Stegostoma tigrinum: one gene and its partners. The protein of the gene in region 2 interacts with the protein of the main gene of each other region in a pairwise test. Links are inferred from orthologs where the notes say so. Each region holds a gene or a part of one and is shown on either strand. Other genes may lie near its edges. The genes, in order: ca8, spdl1 and dnaaf4.

What was found.
Region 1: the proteins of spdl1 (region 2) and ca8 interact in binary tests that used the Homo sapiens proteins (3 or more experiments, as listed by UniProt). The two-hybrid records come from large-scale screens. The link is inferred for Stegostoma tigrinum from reciprocal best matches to the Homo sapiens genes SPDL1 and CA8.
Region 3: the proteins of spdl1 (region 2) and dnaaf4 interact in binary tests that used the Homo sapiens proteins (3 or more experiments, as listed by UniProt). The two-hybrid records come from large-scale screens. The link is inferred for Stegostoma tigrinum from reciprocal best matches to the Homo sapiens genes SPDL1 and DNAAF4.

The regions. Positions count from the first base shown.
Region 1 is NC_081358.1:35,205,336-35,215,128, forward strand, and holds the start of ca8 (carbonic anhydrase-related protein), read left to right. Parts: upstream 1-5,765; 5' UTR 5,766-5,968; intron 5,969-6,636; 5' UTR 6,637-6,773; intron 6,774-6,848; exon of another isoform or gene 6,849-6,870; intron 6,871-7,131; 5' UTR 7,132-7,195; coding exon 7,196-7,271; intron 7,272-7,866; coding exon 7,867-8,058; intron 8,059-9,793. UniProt on the Homo sapiens protein: Does not have a carbonic anhydrase catalytic activity.
Region 2 is NC_081364.1:15,282,566-15,293,113, reverse strand, and holds the start of spdl1 (protein Spindly), read right to left. Parts: upstream 4,739-10,548; 5' UTR 4,626-4,738; intron 1-4,625. UniProt on the Homo sapiens protein: Required for the localization of dynein and dynactin to the mitotic kintochore.
Region 3 is NC_081386.1:15,450,856-15,461,160, forward strand, and holds the start of dnaaf4 (dynein assembly factor 4, axonemal), read right to left. Parts: upstream 4,888-10,305; 5' UTR 4,853-4,887; coding exon 4,730-4,852; intron 4,006-4,729; coding exon 3,858-4,005; intron 3,692-3,857; coding exon 3,558-3,691; intron 1-3,557.

The DNA of each region.
Region 1 (9,793 bases), on a different chromosome or scaffold from region 2:
TTCATCCAAGTTCTAATTGCTCCTTCTTCATCTCCGCTATTTTTGGTATGTCATGTAGATAAATGGTGACCTGAGGTAGACCGTTCTCCATCATCCGCTGAAAAATTGCACAGGCTGATGATACCCCAAATGGCAGTGTTGTATATTGATACAAAGCCTTATGGGTGTTAATTGTAGCACATTTCTGGGAATCCTCATCTAATCCGCAATTGCAAGTATGTGTGGCTCATGTTCAGCTTCGGGAAGGACAGCCTGCCCTGCCAACTTTTTGTACAAATCTTGTGTGAAGGATCAGGTATTTCTCCAGCTGTGAAAATGGCTTTGCTGTTTGTTTAAACTCCCCACAATGGTGAACGAGAGCATCAGGCTCCACAATCAGTATGACTGGTGCTGTCCATTCCACAAACTGGACAGGTTTGCTGATTCCTTCACTTTCCAGCTTCCTGATTTCTGCTTCTTCTTTTGCCTGTAAGGCAAATGACACGAGGTGGACCTAGTAGAACTCTGGGATTGCTTCCTGGTCAACAAGGTGACTTTGGCTGTTTGATAGTCCCTAGACCATCCAGAAAGATGCTGAGTATTTAATTAGGACTTCACTCAAGCAGCTATTTTCTAATCGAAAAGCGTTGAGCCAACTTAAGTGATTCTGCCTCAAATAATTTTTCCCCATCAAGCTTGGGCCCAAGCCTTTTACTGTAATCAGTGATACCTGAACCAGCTGCTTCTGATAAGAGACCAGAACGGAGGTTGTGCCCTTAATCTGCAACTGGTCCTCGGAGTGGCTTTTGTTAAAAACTGGCTCTGCAATCACTGATACAGCCATGCCAGTATCGATCTCCATTAGAACTGGATGATGTTTATTTTCATTGGCTGTAATTTGGATGCTGCTAAGCAATTTAACTGATTCAAAGCAGATGTAGGTGGTCTTTCCAGGGTGTGTTCTCTCCTGGTTACCAGCCCATGAGTTCTCTTACTCATTTCAGGCCTGGTGGCACTCTTTTGCTGGCTTGAGTCCATACACCAGCAGCAGTTACAATGGGTTGCCAGCCCAAATCCTGAAGAAAATTTTACCCGTTTGGCCAAGGCTTGGCTTTGGTTTGGGGTTTTGCTGTGGGCTGACTGAGGGTCCCTCTGTTCAGAATATGCCCTAGAATATAGAACATAGAACATTACAGCACAGTACAGGCCCTTTGGCCCTCGATGTTGTGCCGACCTGTCATACCAATCTCAAGCCCATCTAACCTAAACTATTCCATGTACGTCCATATGCTTATCCAATGACGACTTAAATGTACCTAAAGTTGGCGAATCTACTACCGTTGCAGGCAAAGCGTTCCATTCCCTTACTACTCTCTGAGTAAAGAAACTACCTCTGACATCTGTCCTATAGCTTTCACCCCTCAATTTAAAGCTATGCCCCCTCGTGCTCGCCGTCACCATCCTAGGAAAATGGCTCTCCCTATCCACCCTAACTAACCCTCTGATTATTTTATATGTCTCAATTAAGTCACCTCTCAACCTTCTTCTGTCTAATGAAAACGGCCTCAAGTCCCTCAGCCTTTCCTCATAAGACCTTCCCTCCATTAGAGGCAACATCCTAGTAAATCTCCTCTGCACCCTTTCCAAAGCTTCCACATCCAGCTTATAATGCGGTGACCAGAACTGTACACAATACTCCAAGTGCGGCTGCACCAGAGTTTTGTACAGCTTCACCATAACCTCTTGGTTTCGGAACTCGATCCCTCTATTAATAAAAGCTAAAACACTGTATGCCTTCTTAACAGCCCTGTCAACCTGGGTGGCAACTTTCAAGGATCTGTGTACATGGACACCGAGATCTCTCTGCTCATCTACACTACTAAGAATCTTACCATTAGCCCTGTACTTTGCCTTCTGGTTACTCCTACCAAAGTGCATCACCTCACACTTGTCTGCATCAAACTCCATTTGCCACCTCTCAGCCCAGCTCTGCAGCTTATCTATGTCTCTCTGCAACCTACAGCATCCTTCGTCACTATCCACAACTCCACCGACCTTAGTGTCGTCTGCAAATTCACTAACCCATCCTTCTACGCGCTCATCCAGGTCATTTACAAAAATGACAAACAGCAGTGGACCCAACACTGACCCTTGCGGTACACCAATAGTAACTAGTCTCCAGGATGAACATTTCCCATCAACTACCACCCTCTGTCTTCTTTCAGCAAGCCAATTTCTGTTCCAAACTGCTATATCTCCCACAATTCCATTCCTCCGCATTTTGTACAATAGCCTACTGTGGGGAACCTTATTGAACGCCTTGCTGAAATCCATATACTCCACATCAACCTGTTTACTCTCATCTACCTGTTTGGTCACCTTCTCAAAGAACTCAATAAGGTTTGTGAGGCATGACCTTCCCTTCACAAAACCGTGCTGACTATCCCTAATCAATTTATTCTTTTATTCTTCCCTGAGTGAGGCTATGCAATTGCCTTCAGCCAAGTGGTGTTCCCTGAGCTCAGTCAGCCTGGTGGGGGTGTCCACTTCCATTGGAATACCCTGCAACTCATTGCTCCACTTGTTGCATTTTCCAATGATAAAGCCAGTTATGGCGCCTGTTTGAAGTCCAGTTCAGCTTCAGCTACTAGGCTCTTTTGTATGTTTCATCATTAATGTCACATACCAAATGAACAGTTTCTCAGCATCTTAAGGGCTAAACCAAAGTCACATACTTCTGCAAGGCATCCTAACCTAGTAAGAAATCCCAGTACAGATTCCCCTGACTCTCAAACTGCAGAGTAAAACCAATAGCAACACAGAATTAGTGGAGGTTTGGGGCAGTAATATTCCTTAACTAATTCTGTCAACTCTTGAACGATTTTAATATTTGATGCCTGAGGGAAACTCAGGCTCCTAATCACTAAAAGAGCTGCTGGTCCACAAGCTATTGGGAAAATTCCCTGTGGCATTTCATTTGCCCCAATGTCGTTTGCCTGGAACAAACAATGCACTATTTCCACATATTGGGCCTAGTCTTTAATGGCAGGATCGAACAAGCCAATCTTTCCAAATAACAGCATGATGCCAGAAATGCTTACCCCAACTCAAAGATGACTGTTGTGGATGAATTTCTTCAGGAAGGTGCTTCTCTTTTGTCGTCACTGAAATAACCCCACAGAGGCCAGTATCCTGTCACTTGGAAAGTCCTTGACACTGATCCAGCTCCCTCAGAGCCAGATCTCAGAAATGAGCAGAACCTCTGTCACTCCTGTTTATATCCTTCAGTCAGGGCTCCCTGATTGGGCAAGATTAACAGCCCAAATCAGGGAACTCCTATTCTATGATGTCCAACTGGTTGATCCCATTACAATCACTACAATTATCCCTCATGTTTTGTTGACAGCTAGAATGTTAAGGATGTGTGAAAAGACAGGTTCACCTGCAGATCCAATTACGACACACCACATTCAATATTAACTTACTTATCGCAATAAAAAGTAAAAATATTAAAATACCTATTGCTTTGTTGCCTGCAGCCTTTCTGCACACTGCTAACAGACTCCAGGGCTGAACTTTCACTGTCACATGGGGACCAGCATGAAGGTGGGAGGGAGTAACCAGTAGCTTGAAGACAGCTCATTGCTTGGGGATAGAATTCCAGCAACAAACGACGTCAATGCTCCATGTCTTTTTTGAGGCCTACTTCCAACGGTTTTGCTCTCGGTGCTGTGGTCACAGACTGCCCTCTGACAGGGTTCTCCCTTCACTATGGTGACCAGGCAACTGTGATAATTTTATTTTAGAAGTTATGAAAGTTGCTGAGAGAGTACCACAACATGTATGGAGCCACTCTTTCTCTCTCTTATCTGAGATGCAAGACTGAAGATCTTTCCCTGTTGGCCCTCCAGCTTCACATTAGCTTCTCTGGGCAAAACATGGCAAATCACTGCAAGATCATTGTCCTGATCAGGACCCTCTTTTAACTTTGATGTCAATGTCTCAATCCTTGAAAAATCCTGCCCAGAAATCTATCAGGGCAGCTACATCTCACATTCCACCATAAACTGCCAAATGTCAGGTCAGCCATCCAGTCTCAGGAGAATCCCCAGTTACCCTGTCACAGTAATCTAAAACTAAAGGAGTCATGGTGTAAAACAACTCCAGGAGAATCACTGCAGAATTATCAAACTTCTGTTTATCCCAAGCAATTTTGCTAAACCCAGGGGCACTCCTTAATGTATCGGAAGCTCATGTTAATCTAGCAGATTGCTGTTAAGTGCCACTTTGTACCATTCTCCAGGCCAGTATAAATAATCATCTCGTACTTTTTTGAAAGCTTGATAGAACCTCTCTTCAACACACTTCCAGGTAGTGGGACAACGTAGAGTTATTGGGTATTTTATAGCATAAAAAGAGGCTCTTTGGCCCATCAGATCCATGACAGTCACAAAGCACCTATCACTCTTGACCCTTTATCTTCTATCTCTACATGGTATTCTTAACATGCCATCTTTTTGTGCATTCTCAGCTTTCAAATGACAAGAAAAAAGGCACAGAGCTGAAAGAGCACAGTCAGATAAAGGCAACTCATTTCGGTTTTTACAGATTAATAGAATGAATAATAGAATCAAAGCCAATGGTTAAAACTGTAGACAAAAATAAAGAGCTGTGGGTGCTGGAAATCAGAAACAAAACATAGTACAGGTTGAGGTAGAGACAGGAATCATCACAACATTTAAGAAGCTTTTAGATGATCACTTGGAGCACCTTTGCAGAAAAGGTAACGGGCCAAGTGCGAGATAAAGGGATGAGAGCTGATAGGTGCTTTGTGACTGTCATGGACATGATGGGCTGAAGAGTCTCCTTCCATGCTATATAGAAGTATGTTAGAGAAAAGTTCAACAAAGGCATTCAAAAGAGTATTAGATGATTATTTAAATGAAAATGACATGCAGTATTAAGGGGAAAGGTCAAGGAGAATAGCTTACGTTTATGATATTCATTTGGAGACAGACATGAAGTCTTCAGTGGCCTTCAGTATCATAACAGTACTGTGATTCCTTCTGTTAAAGTCATCAATCTTGGTGCAGCACAGTGACTCAGTGGATAGCACTGCTGATTCACAACGCCAGGGACCCAGGTTCAGTTCTCAGCTTTGGGTGACTATTTATGTGGAGTTAGCACATTCTTCTCGCGTCTGTGCGGGTTCCCTCCAGGTGCTCCGGTTTCCTCTCCCACTTAGGTGAATTGGCCATGCTAAATTGTGCAGGCTAAATGGAGTCGCCATGAAAAATGCAGGATTGGGGCTTGCAGGGAACGTGTCTGGACGCGAGGGTTAATGCAGTCTCGATGGGCTGAATAGCCTACTTCTGCACTGTCGGGGTTCCATAAAAATTCTGATTAACATGAGCAATTGCACAGAAGGTTATATGCGCGCGTGTGTGTGTGTGTGTGGCGGAGACAGGGAGCGTGATGAAGCACTCGATGTTTAAATGTGCAGATGCAAGTATTATATGTATGGCACCTTCCAGGACCTCAACCAGATTCCACATCCCTCACCTCATGATACCTCAGTTTCCCCAGAAATACGGAAATCAATGAACTTGGGGCATGTTTTGCGCTAGGACCAGAAGAGCCAAGTTGAGTTAAATAATTCACATTGCATTTATATTCTATACTGTGTGGGTAAACAAGACAAATTCAATACATTGCATATTGTTGTGGCACATGTGCACTGTGTGTGAGCTCTTTCGACTTCAGTTGTTGGAAGCAGCGATTCTAGAGTGGAACCACCCACTGACGTGGATCATGTAGTTTAGTCAAAATCAGAAAGACATGAGCTTGTTTGGTGCCGCGAGTTTGAGAGGTGAAGATGCTTTGTAAATTCACCGCAAGATTCAGAGAGTAACAGCAGGGGCAGGATTACCATTCAGGACAGATTTACAGTTTTACTGAGTATTGTTTGACAGTTAATGGGAAGGTCCCGGTAAGTGCGTTGCAAATATTTTGGTTTTAAAAACAAGAAACTTTGAAAAGCATTGGGAGGTGTAGTCTCCGGTGTAATAGTGTTGCTGTTCAGACTTCCTGCTGTGGGCCTCAGCTAACGCTTTGTAACGGGGGAGAAGTTTTCAGAAAATACCAGAGAAGAGGTTTTAATCTGTATGGTTTTTCATTTGTAATTGAGATGTAAAGCCATAAAGGATGATTATTCAGTGACATTTCTCCCTTAATAAATATCATTCTGGGTTTTAAAAATAACTGGGATTTATACTTTAGGGAGAATGATACAAGTTTCTAGTTACATTTTATTTTACAAAATTCATCGCACAATTCATTAGAGATATTCATTCGCAAAATTCATTAGAGATATTCCCTTGCAAATGGGGCGATAAAGTTACTCCTGCAGTCTGAATCTGCCGTGTTAAATAGGTCAGTTTGATCAACGACCAGAATTCAGGTTTTTTTTATCGTTTCCAACTGCCCTGTTAATCTGTTCAGTGACACTGTCCCCGAAACGCTAACATCGTCCAAAAGACTATCCAAGAATAAACTTAATAAAACCCTAGGCAGAGATATTAGGACACGGGTGGGACCTGCTGGCTTGGGTGGGGGGACAAACGGACCCGAAACGTTACCTCTGATTTCTCTTCACAGGTGCTGCCAGACCTGCTGAGCTTTTCCAGCAACGTCTGTTTTTGCTCCAGGTTCAGAGGTAGGGACATTGCCACTTCGCTGGAAGAGCCCTAAATTGACCCCACTCTGTAAATTGGAAGAGGTAATCCGCTGGACAGGTTAGTGTGATTGGACAGATCCTCCTGCTTTCACTGAAACCTGGGGAGTAAATGACAGCTCGCCCTTTCTCACTGGTGTCGGGGAGCCGTGGTTTTAGTATGTAAACTTACACTGTATGTTAAGTTACACAGTACAGAAGCCATTTGTGGACTTGTATCAGTGTATTTAGCTTCACGTATTGTTAGGATAGAAACTGGGAGCGTGACATTTCTGCTTTTCCAAGGTGACAGATAATGAGCGGCACTATTTGTTTGGCAACTGGTCAGATTGCTGTTTCCAATGAATTAGTGATTTGTGTAATTGTGTTTTAAAGGCTAGATTGCTCGGTAGTTTATATAACCATCATGTTTTGGCCAGGGTACAGCTCGGAGCAGCCTGCATAGTGCAGCTGGGATTGTTCATTCGAGTAGCTGCCTTTTCAATGGCCGACAGCCCCTTCATTGAGGAAACCCGGCCTTACGGCTATAAGGAGGGTCTGGAATGGGGATATGAGGAAGGTGAGATCCTGAACAACTTTGTTTTAAAGTGTGCAAATGGAAACGCGATATTTTTGCCACCATTGGCACGCATTTCCTTCATTAAAGAAGCCATATAGCCGTTCTGAGGAAGGGTCACCGGACCCGAAACGTTAACTCTGTTTTCTCTTTCACAGATGCTGCCAGACCTGATGAACTTTTCCAGCAACTTTGTTTTTTTTGCATATAAAATTAAACTTTGCATTTTAAAACTTTGTTTGTTTCCATGGTGAGGGATCTAACACAAACAGATATGCCTTGATACCTAGAAGTAATTCTCTTTTGGCAGTCAGCCAATTTGCGAACTTATTTTGCAAAGTTTGGCTTATTCAGACCATTTTAAGTCACCCCAGTCCAAAACAGAGATGCTTAACTGATATTTGATAATATGCTAACTTGTAAGCTGTCAAACTCATATTCTCAGTGTTAAAATTAACTTTCAACTTTAGTTTAGGAAAAACTTCTATTTGGCGTTTGAATCTAGCTTTAGTTTTGCCATTTTTAAAATCCTTTTAAAAGTATGAATTCAGGTATATATATGTTGGTCACTTGATCAATGTGATTTGCTCTGTTTCAGGAGTGGAATGGGGCCTGTTGTTTCCTGAAGCAAATGGAGAGTATCAGTCCCCGATAAACCTGAACTCCAGGGAGGCAAAGTATGACCCTTCACTATTGGAAGTACGTTTATCACCAAATTATGTTGTTTGTCGAGATTCTGAAGTAATTAATGATGGTCACACTATTCAGATACTGCTGAAGTCCAAATCAGGTATGTAAAAATATGAACCAAGTTTGGGTTGTGCAACAGATTGTGAAATGTTTATTTTTGACTTTGTGTGTCTCCTTCAATGCATCATTTTGATCTTCTTCCCATAAGGTGTGAAAGGAAAGCTGCCTATGTTGATGGGTTTAATCTATTCTGTTTTGTTGTGCTATCATTCAGCAGATTCCTCAGCAAATTAATGTTGTGTAAAACACAGCATAAACAGGACTGTATTAAAAACTGAAAGAACCACTGATGCTTAAATCAGAAACAAAAACAGAAGTTGCTGGAAAAGCTTAACAGGTCTGGCAGCATCTGAGGAGAGAAATCTGAATTAATTTCAGGTCCGGTGACCCTTCCTCTGATTTCTCTCCACAAATCTGCTGAGCTTTTCCAATGATTTCTCTTTTTGTTTCTGATTTACAGCATCAGCAGTTCTTTCAGTATTTTGTGTTTAGAGGACGTTCTTTTTTTTTAATCCCATTCAGTGGCATTTCACTCACTTGGATGAAACAGTATGTTTAATTTAGTATGTTTTTCCAAAGAGAGTGATTGGATTTATATCTGCATCCAGTTTTCACACCAGAATTGATCGTCATTGGTTTAAATTTTACCCAATGCTGTCCCACTGGAAGATGACACCGACTAAACACAATATAGAAAATTTCCTATTATCAAACGAATATTAACTTTCAGAAGTGATTTTGATTGTGAAATGGTCATGAACTCTTTCAAGATTCAGGCTTGTATTGAGCATTTTGTGGCTTGTAAGTATATATTGAACTCCACAACACAGAAAAACATGCTTGATAAATTGTAAGCTCCTGAGTGGAAATTAAAAATAAGTCTATGATCTTTGGATGTTGAAGTAGGAGCAGGAGTCGGTCAGTTGGCTCTTCAAACCCACTCCATCATTCAAGAAATCATGACTGATCATCTAACTCCATTCCCTGTCCCTGCTTTTCCCTCACACCATTTGATTCCTCTAGCCTTAAGAACTATTTCTAATTTGTCGCCCATGAAAACATTTCAATGTTTTGGGTTCAGCTCGTTTCTGTGGCAGAGAGTTCCACTGGTTCACTGCTGTCTAGGTGAAGACATTTCTCATAAAGACAATAATGGTTCAGATGCTTACGAAAGTCCTGTTCATTGACTTTGTTATGTCTTCAATATAAACACTTCAGAATTAATTGTGGTAGTTTTACAAACTAGCTGCAAGGCAGGCACCTCATTCACTTGGAGCACAGATCAGAGACCAGTACACTTACACCATGAAGAACAGAAATAGGTTATTTGGCCCCTTGATCCCACTCCCCTATTCAGTGGGATCATGGCCGATCCAAGATGCCTCATGTCCCCATCTAGTTCTGTGTCTTTGGAGAATAGGAAATTGTACATAAATGAGGTGAGATTAGGTACTATTGAGATATATATTTAGGCAAATGGGTCTCCCGCTGCTCACTAGTGAGATTCAAACGTGTGGAAAATTAGACTTCTTTCCATGATGTTGAAAATTATCGTTTGCAGAACTTTTTGTATTTGCCCAAATGACTTACCATTGCTCACATCGTTCAGGGGCTGTGAAAATTCAATCTGAGGAAACCATGATGACTCCCAAAGCCAAACCTCATCCCCAACTTGGTTTTGGGTCCACAGACTAATCTGTCCAATCTCCTTTTGAATGTTTGCAGTAAAGGAAGGTTTCTTATTCTTTACTTATTAACAAAATGATGACATCACT
Region 2 (10,548 bases):
GAAATTATACATCTTTCATTAAGTAAGGGGACCAACTTGCTCAAAATACTCCAGATGCAGTCTCACCAGCAATTTGTGCAGTTGCAGTAAGACTTTCCTATTCTTATACTTGAATCCTCTTGAAATAAGAGCCAACATGCCATGAGCCTTCAAGATTATTTCCTGCATCTGTGTGCTAATTTTGCGTTTCATGCACAAGTATCCCCAAGTTCCTTTCTGTTGCAGATTTGTTCAGTTTTTCTCCACTTAAAGATCATACTGTTCTTTTGTTCACTACTCCAAAACAAACAACTTCACATATTATACTCCATTTGTTAACATTTTGCCCATGTACTTAATCACCCAATATCTCTCTGTTAACTCTGTGCACTCCTTGCAAACTGTCTTTCTCCCTATTTTAGTGTCATCTGTAAATCTGGTTACAAGCCACCTCCAACACCATGGTCTCTTCAGACTTGACCTTTGGTGAAGTACCTTGTCAAATATCCTTTGGAAGTCCACTGAGATAGCAAGAACTGCAGATGCTGGAGTCAGAAATAACAATGTGTGGAGCTGATAAACACAGCAGACTAGGCAGCACCAGAGGAACAGGAAAACTGATGTTTTGGGTCAGGATCCTTCTTCAGATTCCCCTCCTTCTATTTTGAAGAAGTTTCAACCATTCTAATAAAATTGTCAGATATGATTCTCTTTCATGAAGCAATGCTGACTCTGTTTTGATTAGACTATAATTTTCCAAATGTCCTGCTATTACTTTTTCAAAATTGTTTCCTATACTTTCCCAACAGATATTAGGCTAATCAGCATATAGGACATAGAAAAGTACAGAAACAGATCCTTTGGCCCACCATATCTTTGCTGACCATAATGCCATTCTAAACAAATCCCATCTGCCTGCAGTCAGATTAGCAGTCATCCAATCATCTGATACTTCTCCATGACCCAAGAGCTTTTGGAAAATTACAACAATGCATCCACTATCTCTGTAGCTACCTCTTATGGGATCCTAGGATGGAAGCTGTCAGGGCTAGGGGACATAACTGCCTTAAGCCCCATTATTTTGTCTAACACAACTTCTATCCCGTATTTTTTAATTTTGCTCCACCATAAAAGACTGATGTAAAATATCTGCTAAACTCCTCTGTCATTTCCTTGTTTTGATGCACTCTGAATTTGTTGTAGCTATCATTTTCAAATTTATTAATCCAATCAACGTGAAGATTAAAAAGAGATTTTTTTTTAACATGCTCCTACTATTTGTTGATTACAGCCTTTCCCACAGACATCTTATCGTTTGGAGGAGTGGACTGCAGACCCCAATGTCTTTTTTCCCTTACTACTTTTTAACCTTTGCCCAAATAAACTTGACATCATCCAAACCCACAACATTTCTCAACTGTCCTCATTCCATTTCTTATCAATATCTTTCCATTCTCCTATCCCTCTGAAAGAAGTAATATCCCTGATTGAGAACTTCCCAGTTTGGATCTCCTTGGAACTATGTTTGCCGAATGGCTATGATAACGTATTCATTTACCTTCATTTGCACCTCCAAATCGTGCCTTATTCCAAAGGCTTTGCGCATTAAGATATGGGGAGGCAATGGCCTAGTGGTAATATTGCTGGGCCATTAATCCAGAAACTCCGGAAAATGTTCTGGAGGCCTGGGTTCAAATCCTGCCATGGCAGATAGTAGAATGTGAATCTAATAAACATCTGGAATTAAGAGGTTAATGACTCACTAACATCTTTTACTTCAGTGGTGGGCAAATTATTGGAAAGTGCTCTGAGACATGGGGTTTATGATCACTTGGATAAGCACAATTTGATTTGTGAGGAGTAGATCATGTCTCACAAATCTTATTGAATTCTTCAAAAGAGGCGACCAAACACATGAATGAAGGTAGAGCAGTGGATATGGTACACATGGATTTAAGTAAGGCATTTGATAAGATTCCCCATGGTAGGCTCATGCAGAAAGTAAGGAGGCATGGGATACAGGGAAACGTGGCAGATTGTCTTCTATGGCTCAGCCAATTCTGAATCCAAAGGATAGTAGTGGATGGAAAATATTCAACATTGTACTCAGTTACAAGTGGTGTACCACAAGAATCTGTTCTAGGTCCTCTTCTATATGTGATTTTTGTAAATGATTTGGATGTAGGAGTGAAAGGGTGGATTGGTATGTTCACTGACGATACAAAGGTGGGTCGAGTTGTGGATAGTGCAGAGGGCTGTTCTAGGTTACAAAGGGATATTGATAGGATGCAGAGCTCTGGGCTGTGAAGTGGCAGATGGAGTTTAACCCTGAAAAGTGTGAGGTGATTCACTTTGGAAGGACAAACTTGAAAGCAGAATGCAGGGTTAACGGAAAGATTCTTCGCAGTGTGGAGGAGCAGAGGGTTCTTAGGGTTCATGTCCACAGTTTCCTGAAAGCTGACACCCAGGTGAATAGAGTTGTTAAGAAGGCATATGGTGTGTTAGCTTTCATTAATAGAGGGATTGAGTTCAAGAGCCGTGAAGTTATGCTCCAGCTATACAAAAGCCTGTTCGGTCATATCTGGAGTACTGTGTCCAGTTCTGGTTGCCTCATTACAGGAAAGATGTGGAAGCATTGGAAAAGGTGCACAGGAGACTTACCAGGATGTTGCCTGAAACGGACATGAACTAGGGCTTTTCTCTTTAGAAAAACGAAGGAGAGGTGTCTTGATAGAGGCGTACAAAATGATCAGAGGTATAGATAGAGTGGGCAGCCAGCAGAGGTAGATATAGGGGAGATGTCCAGGATAGGTTCTTTACTCAGTGTGGTAGGGGCTTGGAATGCATTGCCAGAGATGCTAGTTGAGTCAGTCTCATTACAGCATTTAAATGGCTATTAGATAGACATATGGATGCTAGTATAAAGGTAGTGGTGGAGGTTAGATAGACCTCAGCTTTAGGGTAAAAGGTCAGCACAACATCATGGACCAAAGGGCCTGTACTGTTCTATGACGCCCATGAATCCATTGTTGATTGTTGGAAAAACCCATCTGGTTCACTAACGTCTTTGCGGGAAGGAAACTGCTTTCCTTACCCGGTCTGGGCTACATGTGATTCCAGACCCACAGCAATGCAGTTGGCTCTTAACTGCCCTCTGGGCAACTTGGGATGGGCAATAAATGCTGTTTAGCCAGTGATACCCTCATCCCATGAATGAATGAATAAAGAAAATAAAAAGCAGTACATTTGTTCCATTATTGAACTTCCTTACAACTTTAATGATTTCTCAGTACAGTATCACATTTTCACATCCAAGCCCTTTTATTTTTTGGTGACAAATCGACCCCACCACTAAACTATGTCACACTTGTTGTTTGGGATGGGTCAGTGGTGGTGGTCGTCTCAGGATGTAAGCAGGTTTGTCCTCCAAGGTAAGGAGAAACGGAAGCATCTCTCTCCCCTAGTGCAACTCTCTCGTAATCTCTCCCCTCTACAGGCTCCATCCCGCCCCTTTAACTTGCCTGTCTCTTCTCCACCTTCGATTCACCTCCCCCTCACTCCCTATTTTAGAGCCCTCTCCCCAACCCCCTTTTCTGATGAAGGGTCTGGGCCCAAAATGTCAGCTTTCCTGCTCCTAAGATGCTGCTTGGCCTGTGTTCATCCAGCTCCACACTTTGTTATCTCGGAAGCAACTGTTGCCAATATTAATAGCAAAACAAAAGTGTCCTCACACCGGCTGGTGATAGGAATCCGAAGTCTTTAAAAGAAAAAAATTGCCTTTTCGAAAAGGCCAATTTTAACAGGTTTGATCAATTTAGCTGAACACATCGAATTTCCAAATGCGGAGTAGAGGACACCGAATGAGCAAATCGTGCAATTCTAAAAAAGATACGCTGACACGACACGTGATATCGAACACGCAGGGCAGCAAATAAGATTACATGTTATTGGTGACCTGATGGATATTTGTCTGCTAAGTCTGTAGCAATCTTGATGAGACAGTTTATGCACTTAATTTTCTCCTGTCTCAGTTCATCCCATAATCCGCAACGCAGTTTAATCTGATACCACTTCAACTGCAATTTAATGGTAGCTTTCCGGTGACCTGCGAGTCTCCTTCTGTCAGCCTCCATTCCTCGCTAATGCAAATTGACAAGTTATTGTTTCCCCATCACAAAAACAAAATTGTCACTGGCTGGGAGACATTAATCGCAAGAACTATATACCTGCAATTATATACCTGCAATTAGTTTCTTTCCAAAGAAGATTTTTTTCCCCTCCCAAAGTATAAATATAATAAAGAACAAGATGAAAATGAGCGTACAACGGATGCCTTGTATGCACTGATTACAGGCAAAGGCTTAAACGGTTGGAGGGGTGTGGGAAAGAGGGATTTGCTGACCCGGTTATTCGGAGCTGATAGCGATGCGCGCGGAGACAGGCCGTGAATCCCAATCGGCTGTGGGTTCCCCTGGCAACCCGCCCCGTGGCGGTAAAAAGGCCCTGTCCGTGGGCTGAAAGCGACAGAAGCGGCATCAAGCGACCGTATGAGCTGCTCTTTGGCTGTTCAAAGTTGACCGAAGAACGTCGGACAAATTGACCACTTCCTCCTTCCTCCCCCCGCAAAAAAAATAAAAGATTTTTACCCTTCTCCAAAGGTGTTAGTTTCTCGATGCAATTTAAAGCCCGCCGCTCCTCTCCTTCTAACCTTCGCATACACGCCGGCTCCGCATCCACTCCGTCTCCAACGTCCCGCCCCTCAGTGCAGTTTGAACTCGGCACGCGCCCACACAGCCAGCCAATCGCTGCGCACCAGCTCCCAACCGCCGCCGTCACCAACACCCAGCAGTAGCTATAGTCAGTCGCCGGCAATGGTACCCTGCTGGAGGCGAGTAAATACGTACATGTGAAGTTCGTTGATTGATTTATGCCCCGAATCGTATTGCCGCAGCCCATAAAGTTCTTCGGAAGTATAATAACCCTGAAGTAAAGGAGGAGCCAATTAGCGCGCAGCAAGCTCCCACAAACAACAAACCAAATTATCCGTTGAGATGCTGCTTGGCCTGCTGTGTTCATCCAGCCTCACATTTTATTATCTTGGAATTCTCCAGCATCTGCAGTTCCCATTATCTCTTATCCGTTGCATGTTGATTGAAGGATAAATACCAAGGCTTCAGAAAACACCCGTCCTGGTTTTCAACAGTGCTACACAATCTTTCACGTTTTTCTTAGAGGGCACCTGGAGTCATGGCAGACAGAACTTACAGTAGTGTTACATTCGCTATAGTTACAGACTCCCGTTATAATTTTAACACGATCTACTTGCTTTTCTGCTCCACACACCTGTTACTAAATGCTGAGTTGCTGAATGTTTTATTAACTATTCAAAACCTTCCACCGTTTGCTGTATACTTCAGGTCCAACAGCTCTGCAACTCTTTAGAATTCTATATTTTCCTTTATTCATTCATGGGTTATGGGCACTGCTGGTGAGGCAGCATTTATTGCACTTTCTCTCCCTGAATGACATTAGTGATCCAGATGGGTTTTTCCAACAATCAACAATGTATTTACAATCATTGTTAGACTCTTAATTCCAAATTTTTTAAATTGAATTCAATTTCCACCGTTTGTCGTGCCAGGATTTGAACCCGGGTCTTCAAAATACTATTTGAGTCTCCAGATTAACAGTTCAGTTGTAATACCACTGGTATGGTGTAGTGTCGCCACTCTGGTGCCATCTTAAAACACAGAAAAATAAACCAAAGCATACAATATAAAGGTAGAAAAATCAAGAAAAAGTGCTCAAAATGTACAGTCCTTCTTGTTAAGTGCTTTGTCGTGGGCACCGGGATTAGTGGCCAGGCACTAGTTGCCTTCGCTGCACTGATGCTGCTAGAATGAAATTCGCCACTTGTCAGCACCATCTTGCCTCCACTGAAGCACTCACCAATATGAGTCTTCAATGGATCTTGTGAATGCAGATGCCACCGGACACCACACTGACCCAAACTCAACTCTGCCAGCATCATGAGTCTACTTCCGGCCAACCTCGCCATTGCAGCAGCTGCTGATGTCATCAGGTGTCATAATGGATCCAATCTTGTTTCCTCTGCTATCTCCACAAATCTGGGCCTGATGCATTCACTGCTCAGAACCCAAACTCACCTCCTTCACAGCAACCATGAGTCGGCTCAAGGAATGCCTCAACAATGTTGAAGCCACTGGGAACCCGAACTCGCCACTGATGCTGCTGCCATGAGTCCACGCTGCTGCGTCTACGCGGCCCACTCACTGCTGTTGACATTGTCACCATGGCTGAGCTCTTCAACAAGAAGTGTATAAAAAAAGGGAAAGAAATGAGAGGAGAGGAAAATATGAAAAGCAGGTGAGTCCTGGGCTCAGAAACCCTACTCCACTGCCATCTTACTGGAAGATGTGTGTCAGTGGTAAGCCTGCCATCAAGCAAGGCAGCTAAGAACATAAAGGTAGAAAGAAGGAGGTAATGGATTGAAAAAGGAACACAAAGCTTTCATTCCTGTTACAAACCAATTGCCTTCACAATTGATATATTTCTGTTATAACAGGATTCCAGTGCACATATTTAATTCCCTGAATAAATGCCATAAAGCTCAATGAGAAATCAGTAAGGCATTTGATAAGGTTCCCCATGGTAGGCTCATTCAGAAGGTCAGGAGGAATGGGATACAGGGGAACTTAGCTGCTTGGATACAGAATTGGCTGGCCAACAGAAGACAGCGAGTGGTAGTAGAAGGAAAATATTCTGCCTGGAAGTCAGTGGTGAGTGGAGTTCCACAGGGCTCTGTCCTTGGGCCTCTACTGTTTGTAATTTTTATTAATGACTTGGACGAGGGAATTGAAGGATGGGTTAGCAAGTTTGCAGACGACACAAAGGTCGGAGGTGTCGTTGACAGTGTAGAGGGCTGTTGTAGGCTGCAGCGGGACATTGACAGGATGCAGAGATGGGCTGAGAGGTGGCAGATGGAGTTCAACCTGGATAAATGCGAGGTGATGCATTTTGGAAGGTCGAATTTGAAAGCTGAGTACAGGATTAAGGATAGGATTCTTGGCAGCGTGGAGAAACAGAGGGATCTTGGTGTGCAGATACATAGATCCCTTAAAATGGCCACCCAAGTGGACAAGGTTGTTAAGAAAGCATATGGTGTTTTGGCTTTCATTAACAGGGGGATTGAGTTTAAGAGTCGTGAGATCTTGTTGCAGCTCTATAAAACTTTGGTTAGACCGCACTTGGAATACTGCGTCCAGTTCTGGGCGCCCTATTATAGGAAAGATGTGGATGCTTTGGAGAGGGTTCAGAGGAGGTTTACCAGGATGCTGCCTGGACTGGAGGGTTTATCTTATGAAGAGAGGTTGACTGAGCTCGGTCTCTTTTCATTGGAGAAAAGGAGGAGGAGAGGGGACCTAATTGAGGTATACAAGATAATGAGAGGCATAGATAGAGTTGATAGCCAGAGACTATTTCCCAGGGCAGAAATGGCTAGCACGAGGGGTCATAGTTTTAAGCTGGTTGGTGGAAAGTATAGAGGGGATGTCAGAGGCAGGTTCTTTACGCAGAGAGTTGTGAGAGCATGGAATGCGTTGCCAGCAGCAGTTGTGGAAGCAAGGTCATTGGGGTCATTTAAGAGACTGCTGGACATGTATATGGTCACAGAAATTTGAGGGTGCATACATGAGGATCAATGGTCGGCACAACATTGTGGGCTGAAGGGCCTGTTCTGTGCTGTACTGTTCTATGTTCTATGTTCTAAATCATTAGCACAAATGTGTAAGTTTACCAAAGGAATTAGGAACACCCTAACTTTAATGCTGACTCAACCTATTTTAGCCAGGAGTGGGAATAGGGTGTTGATATTGTTCTCAGCACCACTGAATAAAGCCAAATGAACTAGACTTCTTTTTCATGATTGATGTTCAATAATCCCTACGTTTCTCAGGTGGGAGGATCAGGCTTAGTTCTAGTGTCTACATTACCTTTAGTAGAAGAGTATGCTGGACTCAAAATGTTAACTTCGTTTCACTCTGCACAGATACAGCCAAATTTCTTGAGTTTCTCCAGCACCCTCTGTTTGTTTCTTATATTACTCTTTGGCTTGCACTTTAAAAAATGATTAAGATACTTGAGTACATGCTGTTTGCAGAAGTATCAATCACAGCAGAATAATCAGCTGAAAAGACTTATTTACATTTATGCCATTCAGGATTTCAAAGGTTTGTTTTAGGTCTGTTTTATGTCTGTTTTTAGTCTTTCCATTTAAAAGATATAAATTTAGCTCTGAATTTCTGGTCAGTTGGGGCCTTTAATCCCAGAATGACTGTCTTTCTTCTATAAACTGTTTAAAGACATCAATAGGCATTTGATGATAGGCAGTCAAACATCACAGTAAATAAACCGGTAATATGGCCTCATCAATGACATACATGATGCCATTGCCAGGCATCCCAAATAGATCTAAATTAAACTCATCTGGCATATAAGCTCATAATAGAGCATCAGAAGATCAGGGTATAAATCAAGAAAATGGAAGGATTTGCTTTTAAATGAAACAGATATGCATAAAACAACTCTAAAACAACTATAATGTTGTTACCCTCCTCCCTCTGGACCAACCTCAGGGAATCTCTCCATCTTCGGTCCGCCTCCCCCTCTCTCCCTATTTATTCCAGTTCCCTCTCCCCATCCACCTCTCTGATGAAAGGTCTAGGCCCGAAACGTCAGCTTTTGTGCTCCTGAGATGCTGCTTGGCTTGCTGTGTTCATCCAGGTCCACACTTTGTTATCTCTGAAACAACTATGACAGATTAAAGCGAGTGATCTGTCATACTTCCTCGGTCATATTGCCTGGTCCACCTGTGTTCATCAATGGTGTCATGATGGTATTCAGATGGTCACATCATTCATGGGATGTGGGTTTCCAAGGTTAAGCCAGTGTTTATTGCCTATCCTCAACAGCCTGTGAGAAGGTGGTGGTGAGCTGTTTTCTTAAACAGCTGTAGTCCAGGGGGTGCAGTTACACCCATGTACACAGCCCTTCAAAGAAGGGAGTTCCTGGATTTTGACTGAGTAACAAAGAAGGAACATTAATATAGTTCCGAGAAGGATCTATGACTTGGAACGGAGCTTCAAGGCGGAGTTGTTTCCATGCATCTGCTGTCATTGTCCTTCCAGATGAAAGATGTTGCAGGCTTGGATGGTATTGTCAAAACAGGCTTGGTGAGTTGTTGCAGTGCAAGTTTTAGGTCATACGCACTGATACCACTGTGTGTTGATGGTGAAGGTTTGAATTTTGTAGGTAGTTAGTAGGGTGCCAATGTCACAGTGCTGCATTGATCTAGATGGTGTTAAGCTCCTTGAGTGTTATTGGAGCAACATCTACTTTAGTGAGTGGAGAGCATTTCTTCATAATCCTGACTTGTACTTTGTAGATGCAGCCTGGCTTTGGCGAGACAGGAGGTGAATAACTCACTTGAGAATTCCTAGCCTTTGACCTATTCTCGTATTAATGGTTTTTCTGTGGCTAGTTCAGTTCAGTTTTTGATCGATGTTAATGCCCAAGATGTTGATAGTGGGGCATTGCCTTTGAAAGTCAATGGGAGATGGTTAGATTCTCTCTTGTTGGAGATTATCATTGCCCAGCAATTATGAAGGGTGAATATTACCTCCTAGGTTAACACAATGAAGGAGGAAGTGTCGGGTGTATTGAAATACATTAAAGTATACAAATCCTCAGGGCCAAATTGCATCTATCCCAGGCTACTGTGGGAGGAAAGGGAGGAAATATCTGGGGCCTTAACAAATACCTTTGCATCTTCTTTGGTCTCAGACGAGGTTCCAGAGGACTGAAGAACAGCCAATTTTATTCCTTTGTTTAAGAAGGGAAACAAAAATAATCTGGGTAATTACAGGCTAGAGATCTGATGTTAGCGGTGGGGAACCTTTTGGAGAATACATTGAAAGACAGCATTTATTCACATTTGGAAGCAAATGGACCTGTTAGTGATTGATAGCATGTGTTTGTGCAGGGAAGATCATGTCTCACCAACTTCATTGTGTTTTTTGAGGTGACAAGGTAAGGGCAGTGGATATTATCTGCATGGACTTTAGAAAGGTATTTAATAAGGTACCTCATGGCACACTGGTACAAAAGTTAGGAGTCTCATGGATCCGGGATGAGGTGGCTAGACGGATACAAAACTGGCTTGGTCATAGACGACAGGGAGTGGTGGTGTAAAGGTGATTTTCAGAATGGAGATCAGTAACTAGTGATATTCCACAGGGATCGGTGCTGGGACCTTTGTTGATTGTAATGTACAAAAACGATCTAGACGAAAATGTAGCTGGTCTGATTAGTAAGTTTGCGGATGATACCAAAATTGGTGGAGTTGCAGATAGTGAGGAGGCTTGTCAAAGGATGCAGCAGGATGTAGATAGATTGCAGATTTGAATAGAGAAATGGCAGAGTGTAATCTGGTCAAATGTGAGGTAATGCATTTGGAAGATCAAATTGAGGTGCGAATTATACAATAAATGA
Region 3 (10,305 bases), on a different chromosome or scaffold from region 2:
CCAAACCCCACCTCTTCCTCCGGTACATTGATGACTGTATCGGCGCCGCCTCTTGCTCCACAAAGGAGCTCGAACAGTTCATCCACTTCACCAACACCTTCCACCCCAACCTTCAGTTCACCTGGGCCATCTCCAGCACATCCCTCACCTTCCTGGACCTCTCAGTCTCCATCTCAGGCAACCAGCTTGTACCTGATGTCCATTTCAAGCCCACCGACTCCCACAGCTGCCTAGAATACACCTCCTCCCACCCACCCTCCTGCAAAAATTCCATCCCCTATTCCCAATTCCTCCGCCTCCGCCGCATCTGCTCCCACGATAAGACATTCCACTCCCGCACATCCCAGATGTCCAAGTTCTTCAAGGACCGCAACTTTCCCCCCACAGTGATCGAGAACGCCCTTGACCACGTCTCCCGTATTTCCCGCAACACATCCCTCACACCCCGCCCCCGCCACAACCGCCCTAAGAGGATCCCCCTCGTTCTCACACACCACCCTACCAACCTCCGGATACAACGCATCATCCTCCGACACTTCCGCCATTTACAATCCGACCCCACCACCCAAGACATTTTTCCATCCCCTCCCCTGTCTGCTTTCCGGAGAGACCACTCTCTCCGTGACTCCCTTGTTCGCTCCACACTGCCCTCCAACCCCACCACACCCGGCACCTTCCCCTGCAACCGCAGGAAATGCTACACTTGCCCCCACACCTCCTCCCTCACCCCTATCCCAGGCCCCAAGATGACATTCCACATTAAGCAGAGGTTCACCTGCACATCTGCCAATGTGGTATACTGCATCCACTGTACCCGGTGCAGCTTCCTCTACATTGGGGAAACCAAGCGGAGGCTTGGGGACCGCTTTGCAGAACACCTCCGCTCAGTTTGCAACAAACAACTGCACCTCCCAGTCACAAACCATTTCCACTCCCCCTCCCATTCTCTTGATGACATGTCCATCATGGGCCTCCTGCAGTGCCACAATGATGCCACCCGAAGGTTGCAGGAACAGCAACTCATATTCCGCTTGGGAACCCTGCAGCCATATGGTATCAATGTAGACTTCACCAGTTTCAAAATCTCCCCTTCCCCTACCGCATCCCAAAACCAGCCCAGTTTGTCCCCTCCCCCCACTGCACCACACAACCAGCTCAGCTCTTCCCCCCCACCCACTGCATCCCAAAACCAGTCCAACCTGTCTCTGCCTCCCTAACCTGTTCTTCCTCTCACCCATCCCTTCCTCCCACCCCAAGCCGCACCCCCATCTACCTACTAACCTCATCCCACCTCCTTGACCTGTCCATCTACCCTGGACTGACCTAACCCCTCCCTACCTCCCCACCTATACTCTCCTCTCCACCTATCTTCTTTTCTCTCCATCTTCGGTCCGCCTCCCCCTCTCTCCCTATTTATTCCAGTTCCCTCTCCCCATCCCCCTCTCTGATGAAGGGTCTAGGCCCGAAACGTCAGCTTTTGTGCTCCTGAGATGCTGCTTGGCCTGCTGTGTTCATCCAGCCTCACATTTTGTTATCTTGGAATTCTCCAGCATCTGCAGTTCCCATTATCTTTAAATGTAAATCTGATGCTTTTGACAACCTAGGGCCAATCACATTGTAAGAAATATTGATATCTCATCAAGGGTATAAAAGAAGGGGGAAATTGGGCAAAATCTCAGTGTTAACTGCCATCTACCAGAGCTGGCAGCACTCAGCTCTCAAGAGACAATTGTTGGCTCTCACAACCTCTTCTATGTCTTAGAGAAAGCATCATCTAGATAACGAAGTTACCTATTGCACAATGTCCTGACAGAAGAATCAATGGAAAAGGCACTCTTGACAGAAGAATTGACAGAGAAGGCTCAGAACATTCCAGAAGACATACCACCTGGTTGAAAGTTTGAGAGACTGATTTTTTTTTATATAACTGGGTCCTATAATTATTGGAACAGCATATCTTTAGAATCTTGCTTTATTCGGGAATAGTTGGTGGTTAGAGGTTTATTCAGTTTGTTAATAGTTTAGTTAATTTGTTGATTGTTAGAACTTAGAGAAGTAAATTGTTACTTGTTGACGGTAAAGTGAAAGTCTGGGATTTATTTTAATTAACCTGTAGAAGCTGCTGAAGGGCAGGTTACATGACTTTTCACACTGCTTTTACAGATTATAGAGTCAGGTGCTCCTCTTTCGGTGTTTTGGCTTTAGTTTTTAGAGGGTTTTACTTCGAAACAATGTATCTATTATTTTGTTAACCCTTTCCAAAGAGATACAAATAAACTAATACTTTTCTTTTGTGTTAATTTTGTTTGTGTCTGAATTATAGTGTAAAAACAAAAAGGTTGTTTTGCTTAAAGTTGAGTAGTTTGACCAATCAAATTGCATCTAGAATGCAACACATTATACTTACATTTAAAATAAGAAAAAAATTAGGTCTAGACTATCTTGATATATTTTCAGGGGGATTGGTTTGGTCCACAATACAAATTTATGAAAATTTCATTCCAGTTTAATCTACGAACTTTGAATCAGAATGCACCTCAACGAACCTTAAAGAATGTTTTAAGTTTTTCCAAAATTTTTAGTGATATATGTTGCAATGCTGGTGGGAAAATTAGAAATGAAAATTACATTGCCTCTTTATGGATTGCTAGCATAGAAAATGTCGATCTACCATCTAACAAGCATAGTTCAGATATAAAGTGAATGACTATAACTTTAGACAGTGGATGTAATCAGCAGAATGTGTAGGAGTGGCATGTGTTCTGTGAAAGAGAGAAGAAATGTTAATGTGTACAATTAGGTTCGGTAGAAGACAGAAGGTAGTGACTGCAGAGTAAATTTTGAGGAATTCCCTCTCCACAATGCAATTAGACTACTGGCCCAACCATAATAAGACCCTTCTTACAATTGACCCAGTTTTCATCATTGCTGGGTTTATAAATGTAAGATGTAACAATTAAAGTGTGAAAAATGGAGGCAAACTATCGACATAATCCAAACCATTCACCAGCATGTAATTTGCTCTCAGTTTGTATTCATGGGTAGTGTGTGTGGAGTGATACAGTATTTAACATTTGAAACAAAGTGACACAAAAGGCCGAGAGCCATTAATACAACAACCTTTTTGTATAACACTGAGAGAGACCTAATAAGGATAAAAGTGTATATGCAAATAATCTTACATTCTTTTAATTAAGAGATCGTATTACTTGAATGATTATCTCACATGACCACCACTCTATTTGATTACATTAGTCACATCTTTCACTTAAAGTTTTAAGTTTATAATTTGTAGCATTGTCAAAAAGGAAGAGAGTATGACAGAAAGTGTGGTAATTTGCATATGGGTGATAAAATCTTGTTTTGATGAAATCGCTATGTTTCTACACTTCAATGACACTGGCCACCTTGAACTGTGCACTTGAATATTTACTACTTCTCTAGCTTTATTGTGCAAATGGTTTGAATTCATACTTTTATACCAAATTATTCTGTTCATTTTAAGTAGGCAACACTGTTACTAAATTAACTATTTTAATAGTTTCTACAATAGTTACCTTCATCATCTTTTCCAATGAGTACTTTTCATTTTCTCGCTTTTTAACTGCCTTTTCTTTTGCTGCTTCTTGCGCCTTTTCCTGAGCAGCAAGTATTGCTTTCTCCCTCCTTTTCTGCAACTTTTCCTTACTAACTATCAAAGAAAAGTCAGTGTGATTATATGACACAAAGCCAAAACTAGTTATGCCTAACTTCAAGATTTAACATAACTATCAGCAGCAGCTCTGCTGGTGCAATTCACATCAATTTTAATCTTGTAGGATTCAACATAAAGCAAAATCTCGAAAATCATTCCTCACCTTCGGTCGTTGCAAGTTGCTCCCATATTCCCAATTCTTTCTTGCACAAGGTAAAGATAACAACATCATTGCCAACTTTAACAGAGCTTTTTGATTCATCAATGGAAGCAAATAACATTACCTCAAACAGAAATGGAGGAAAGTTCACCTGTTAAAGTAAGCAATTTAGAATCAAAATCTGGAGGCAAATGCAGGTTCACAATTCTAAAACTAGAAAAAATGTATAAATAAAAAAATTAAATATAGCTCAATAAATTAGCAATCTTTTTAGATGATTTGTGGATAAGGACAATTTTAAGTGTTTCCCCAGCACCACATTCAAGAGGTTAAAGGTCAGTCTGTGGAAATGAGTAGCTGCCAATGAGGCTATTAGGAACAAAAACCAAAGTTGCTGGAAAAGCTCAGCAGGTCTGGCAGCATCTGTGAAGAAAAAATTTCAGAGTTAACACTTCGGGTCCGGTGACCCTTCCTCAGAACTGCAGGAGCTGACAATGGGCTGTGTGGTAGCAGCCCATTCTTTGGGCTCTATCTCCGCCTATAGTTTACTCTTTCCCCCCTCCCCATCTTCTGCATAAATGTCAACCTTTCCTAACTACCACCAGTTCTGAAGAAGGGTCACTCGACCCGGGACGTTAACTCTGATTTCTTTTCACAGATTCCCTCCGCAATTGCCAGCAAATTATGTTACGAAAACAGTTTAATCATTTCACTTTTGAGGCTCGGAGACACTTTGGCAAGTGACTGGCCACAACTATATATGTTTTTCCCCCTGTAGGGCTTCTATGATCTATGAGACCAGAGGCAGCTCCTGTCCGCCCACGCCCACACCAACTTTCCAAACACGGGGCACAGCGCCCGTGTGAATCCCTCACCTTTAAATAATCCTCGATACAGAAAATGTCCGCTTTCCCAGCCCTCACTCCCTTCAGCGGCACCGTGATAAAAACCTGGCTCTCCACCTGGTCCCAAGTATAATCCCTAACCTGCAGCGGCATCTTTACCAACAGCCGCCCGTTGCTAAGCGACGCGCGTCCCGCTCCCTGGTCCTTCCGGCTGAATCGGGCTTTCGCTTCCGAAGCAATGAGTGACGGTTTCCATGGATACCCACCTCCCATTGAATCTCTGATTCTAGATTCTTCTTACAGTGCAAGACTTTTAAGGAGATATTTTATGGAGACGGTGCCACGAAGATGAATTCGATATGGTGCTGATGAAAATTAATTCAAATTAATATTCAGTTATGTAGCTAAATCAAACACAGCGTATACTGGAGATTTGAAACAAAAAAAACATAAAGTGCTGGAGAAACTCAACAGGTTTTTCCTTCTAGGTTTAATGCTAACACTATTGAAGTTAATCCCGCTGTGGGATCATGTTCAAATAACAACCGAAATCGGTGAGTGGCGAAAATAGCTTCTTTAATTAGCATCCACAGTAGCACAGTTTGAGGTAGTGATGGAAACCCAAGTTATAATAACCTCTTTACACACAATTCATACATAAATTAAAATTCTAGCACTATGGTGTTACATAATTATATCTATTGTACGCAGAAGTTTGCATGAAATCTGTCCTGGGGAAGCAGGTAAACATTTACTAAATGCTGGCTGTTACTCCTGATAGGATTACAGTGTCTGTCCAGTCTGTTTGAATAATTAAGAGGGCGAAAATCCACTGTATACCAGAGGTCATAAAACTTTTAGTTATTTCAGGGCAGTGACTTGAAAGAAATTCTGGGATTTGCATATTAATCTTTGCTGAATGATTAAAGATTTGACAGCCATTTTAGTTCAATACACTCGAATCAGTCCTACGACCCTTTGATCTTTTGCTTATAAATTCTGTGGCTGATGCCACCTCTCCCACTGACACCTAAAGAAGGACCAAGACTCCAAAAATAATAATGGGAACTGCAGATGCTGGACAATCTGAAATAACAAAGTGTGGAGCTGGTTGAACACAGCAGGCCTAGCAGCATCTTAGGAGCACAAAAGCTGACGTTTCTTGCCTAGACCCTTCATCGGAAAAGAGGGAGGGGAGAGGGTTCTGAAATAAATAGGGAGAGAGGGGGAGGTGGATGGAAGATGGAAAGAGGCAGCAGAAAAACTGCTCAATGTCCTAATGTGACTGGTATTCATTGATGTGTGGCTGTCTCCTTTGGCAAGAGAGTTGCAGTGGGAGAGAAATCCCCTGAGGTTTGTCCAGAGGGAAGAGGGTAACTTCTACAAGTTAGACATCCCTGGAAGAGGTAACTGAACAAGTTACCCTCCTCCCTCTGGACAAACCTCAGGGGATCTCTCTCCCACTGCAACTCTCTTGTCCATCTTCGATCTGCCTCCCCCTCTCCCCCTCCCCCTTTTCCAATGAAGGGTTTAGGCCCGAAACATCAGCTTTTGTGCTCCTAAGATGCTGCTTGGCCTGCTGTGTTCATCCAGCTCCACACTTTGTTATTGCAAGACTCCAAAAGCTAGTTTTCAAATAAACCTGTTGGACTATAACCTGAAGTTATGTAAATTTTGACCTTGTCCACTCCAGTCCAACACTAGCACCTCCACATCATAATTAAGAGGTGTTAGTCCTTTTATCTTTTAAGGTAGTAAATGTTAGTAAAAAATACTAGACATAAACAAACAAAATAAGTTAGAAATTCTACATGTACTTAATAAAAGTGTAGAGGAGAATAAACTGAGTACAGCAGCTGGGCCATGAGATTTTATTTTCTATTAGTGGGTTTGAAAGTTCTTACACATTCATTCATGCAGTTTCACAGAAGCGCTGTTTTGATGGTAACTTTCTTAAAGGGGATAGTGGCCCTGATTACTGTGTATTTAACAGATACATTCTAGTGGAGAAAACTTTTGATGTTCTGTAACCTATTCAAGTCCCCAGAGATGGCTGCTAAAGGGCTGATTAATATTATAATCTCTCCATAGTTTTGTGTGAGTCATGGAGACATGATGGCGGGAATGGCATTATTTTGAATAGGTTACAACATTAACGCTTAATCAGGCATAGCCTTTGGTATAGAAACAGATCTAATCACTGCTTGTAGCATGGGGCTGATAAGGATTAAAGATGTAAAGAAGCAGTAATGGTTTGGAAGGGATGTTCTAATTTAGTCCAGCTGGTAATAGTAAGATGTAGTATAAAACCACAGTTTTATGAATGAATGAATGAATGAAAAGAGGTAGAGTAAACAATAGTGCGCTGTTGAGTAGTTTGTAAAAAAGTTATGAATGAATGAGAACACGATATTAGTAAATATAGAGCATTTGTGAGTGCGTTGGTAAAGAGACCTATAATGCAATATCTCACACCCTCCTGCCAAACAAACTGTTCAATGGAACGGTCAGGCTGTAATAACATTCGAAAAGCACAAGGAAAATGTTTTATGATTTTTTTGGGCATAGATGTGATCACTCTACTAAAAGCAAAATACTGCAGATACAGGAGATCTCCTTCTGCCAGAGGAGAATCATGTTAAACTCAAATAGTTAACTCTGTTTCTCTCTGTGTGTAAATGCTGCCAGATCTCTCTTCTCCAACACTTTCTTAGACTGGTTAACAAGGTTAGATCACATGTGTGACATTTTTTTTGAAGAGAAGTTGTAAAGGCAGCAGTGCCAAAGTGGCTACAGGAAATGGCCCAAGTTAACAATCAGAGGAGGCCTTTATAACAATGGAAGGGGAGTGGCCAGTTCGCCCAGGTCAGGTTTTCTAGATTTTTAGCGGTAGCAGTCAGAAGCTGTTTGGGTCCCAGAAGGGTTGGAGCTTCAGTAAAATGATTCCTAGTTGTTACATTCTCTGAAATGACTTGCTGTTGTTTCCACCTGGATTGGAGAGTTGCCCATAAGAATCTGTGTCTGAATTTTTGCCAAGGGGTGTGCTTATTGCATGTTACTGTATTGGAACAGTTAATTAATAATAGATATTGAATCTTATTCAATTAAGTTTTCCAGTAGTTAAGTTATTCTAAATTCCTTTTTCTTTTTTTTTAAATGTAGTATATAAATAAGTTGTGTTTTGCTTACCATTTGAGTGGTTTGACCATTTGCATCACATCTAGAACAAGCATTTGACATCTACCCTTAAAATAAGAAAAAGTTCAGGTGTAAGCTACCTTCTTAAAATGCCTTGAGGGGGCCTGGTCTGGTCTGGTCCATAACACATGAATACACAGAGACCCAGCCGTTTGGTTGCAGAACTGGCTCGAATGTTGAAGGCAGAGGTTGGTGCTGGAGGGTTTTTTTTCAGCCTGGAGACCTGTAACCAGCAGTTTGTCACAAGGATCGTTTGCTGCCTTTTGTCATTTATATCAATGCTTTGGATGTGAACATAGGATGTATAGTTTGTAAGTTTGCAGATGACACCTAAATTGGAGGTGTAGTGGACAGCAAAGAAGGTCATGTGAGTACAACGGGATCTTGATCAGATCGGCCAATGGGCCAAGGAGTGGCAGATGGAGTTTAATTTAGATAAATGTGTGGTGCTGCATTTTGGAAAGGCAAATCAGGGCAGGACTTATGCAATTAATGGTAAGGTCCTGGGAAATGTGGCTGAACAAAGAGACCTTGGAGTGCAGGTTCAAAGTTCCTTGAAAGTGGAGTCGCAGGTAGATAAAATAGCGAAGAAGACGTTTAGCATGCTTGCCTTTATTGGTCAGTGCATTGAGTATAGGAGTTGGGAGGTCATGTTGCAGCTGTACCAGACATTGGTTAGACCACTTTTGGAATACTGCTTGCAATTCTGCTTTCTCTGCTTTAGAAAGAATGTTGTGAACCATGAAAGGGTTAAGAAGAGATTTACGAGGATGTTGCCAGGGTTGAAGCGTTTGATCTACAGGGCATTTGTGAATAGGTTGGGGCAATTTTCCTGGAGCATCAGAAGCTGAGGGGTGACTTCATAGAGTTTTATAAAATCATGAGGAGCATGGATAGGATGAATAGTGAAGGCCTTTTCCCCGAAGTGGGGAAAAGTTCACAACTAGAGGACATAGGTCTAAGGTGAGAGGAGAAGAGAGGAGCAAGGTTCAAAAGAGACCTAAGAGGCGACTTTATAAGCAGAGGGTGGTACAATGTATAGAACAAGCTGCTAGAGGAAGTGATGGAGGCTGGTGCAATTACAACATTTAAAAGGCAGTTGGATGGGTACATGAATAGGAAGGGTTTGGAGCGACACGTGCCAAATGCTAGCAAGTGGGACCAGATTTGTATAGGATATCTGGTCAGCATGGACAGGTTAGACCAAAGGATCTTTTTCCTTGTTGTACAAGTCCATGACTCTATGACTCTAATCATTCTGTCAACCTGAGACTTTTAACAAATCTCAAATACATTTCATAAACATCAAAATAACCTGTTCTATTCTGGGTCATGCTCTGTCAGATTGAGTGATAACATAAAGATGTTGCAGCTTCACGTCAAGTTGGGATTGAGAGAAGCTGCAAGGTTGACCAGGTTGTGATAAGTAGAATTATCAGAGTTTTATCTTTATTTTTGTGACAGCAACAAGATGGTTAGGCCTCTGGTTTTATACCTGACAATTCATTACGCGTGTTAACTCTGCTTACCCAGTATCAGATTTGAACCACAAGTCTTATTGCTTGGTATTCTTAAAGCGCCATGGTTGAGCCTATGGGAAGAACTGAAAGTCGAAATTATTATTTGTTTGTCAGTCACTATATGGGACCGTCAGGGATTCGCTGGCCTATCAAGATAGGCGGGTGGACAGAAATTAGCTACCCATACATCCTTCATCTGAGACACTTCATTGGGATTGAGGTTGACTTGCTTCTGATACCTTCAGTGCACAATCTGCAGACCCTTTCACATGTGCCCAGGTGATATTTGCAGGAGTGGGTAAATGGATGGTTTGGATATTCATGCAGTGTCTACAAGGCTTTGCATCTGCATGTCTCCATTTTGCTCTGTCACTAGCCTGGGTCTCCCAATATTCAGAAGGTCTCCTCACAGATGTTTGAAACCATCCTTAAAGCTCTCCTCTTAGAATTTCTTGCTATGACAGCAGTGAGTTTGCAGGGAAACAGTTGCTTTTGAGTGGGCCCTCTGAGATAAATCCACGCTGTGTCACTCCATCATGCAGGGACAATGATCCACTCAGCACACCCTCATGTCCAAATAACTGCTCTGGTATCCAAGGAGAAAGTGGTTAGGGTTCAAGACACAGCAACAACCTGATTAAAAATTGATGAAAAGCATCTCTCAATTTTTAAAATACTTTTTAGAAAATACTGTCTTTTGGGGCTAGGAGTTTTGAAAGAGGAGCTTCTGAATGGGGGGTTATGTGGAGGTTTGGAAAGAGGGGTGTGTGTATGTGTGTGTGAAAGTATGGGGGAGAGGAGAGGGCTAATTACACAGCATATTGAGAGGCGGGGTGACAGAGAGCTCTTCACTGAGTCTTCTGTCACTAGGGAATATGAAGAATTGAA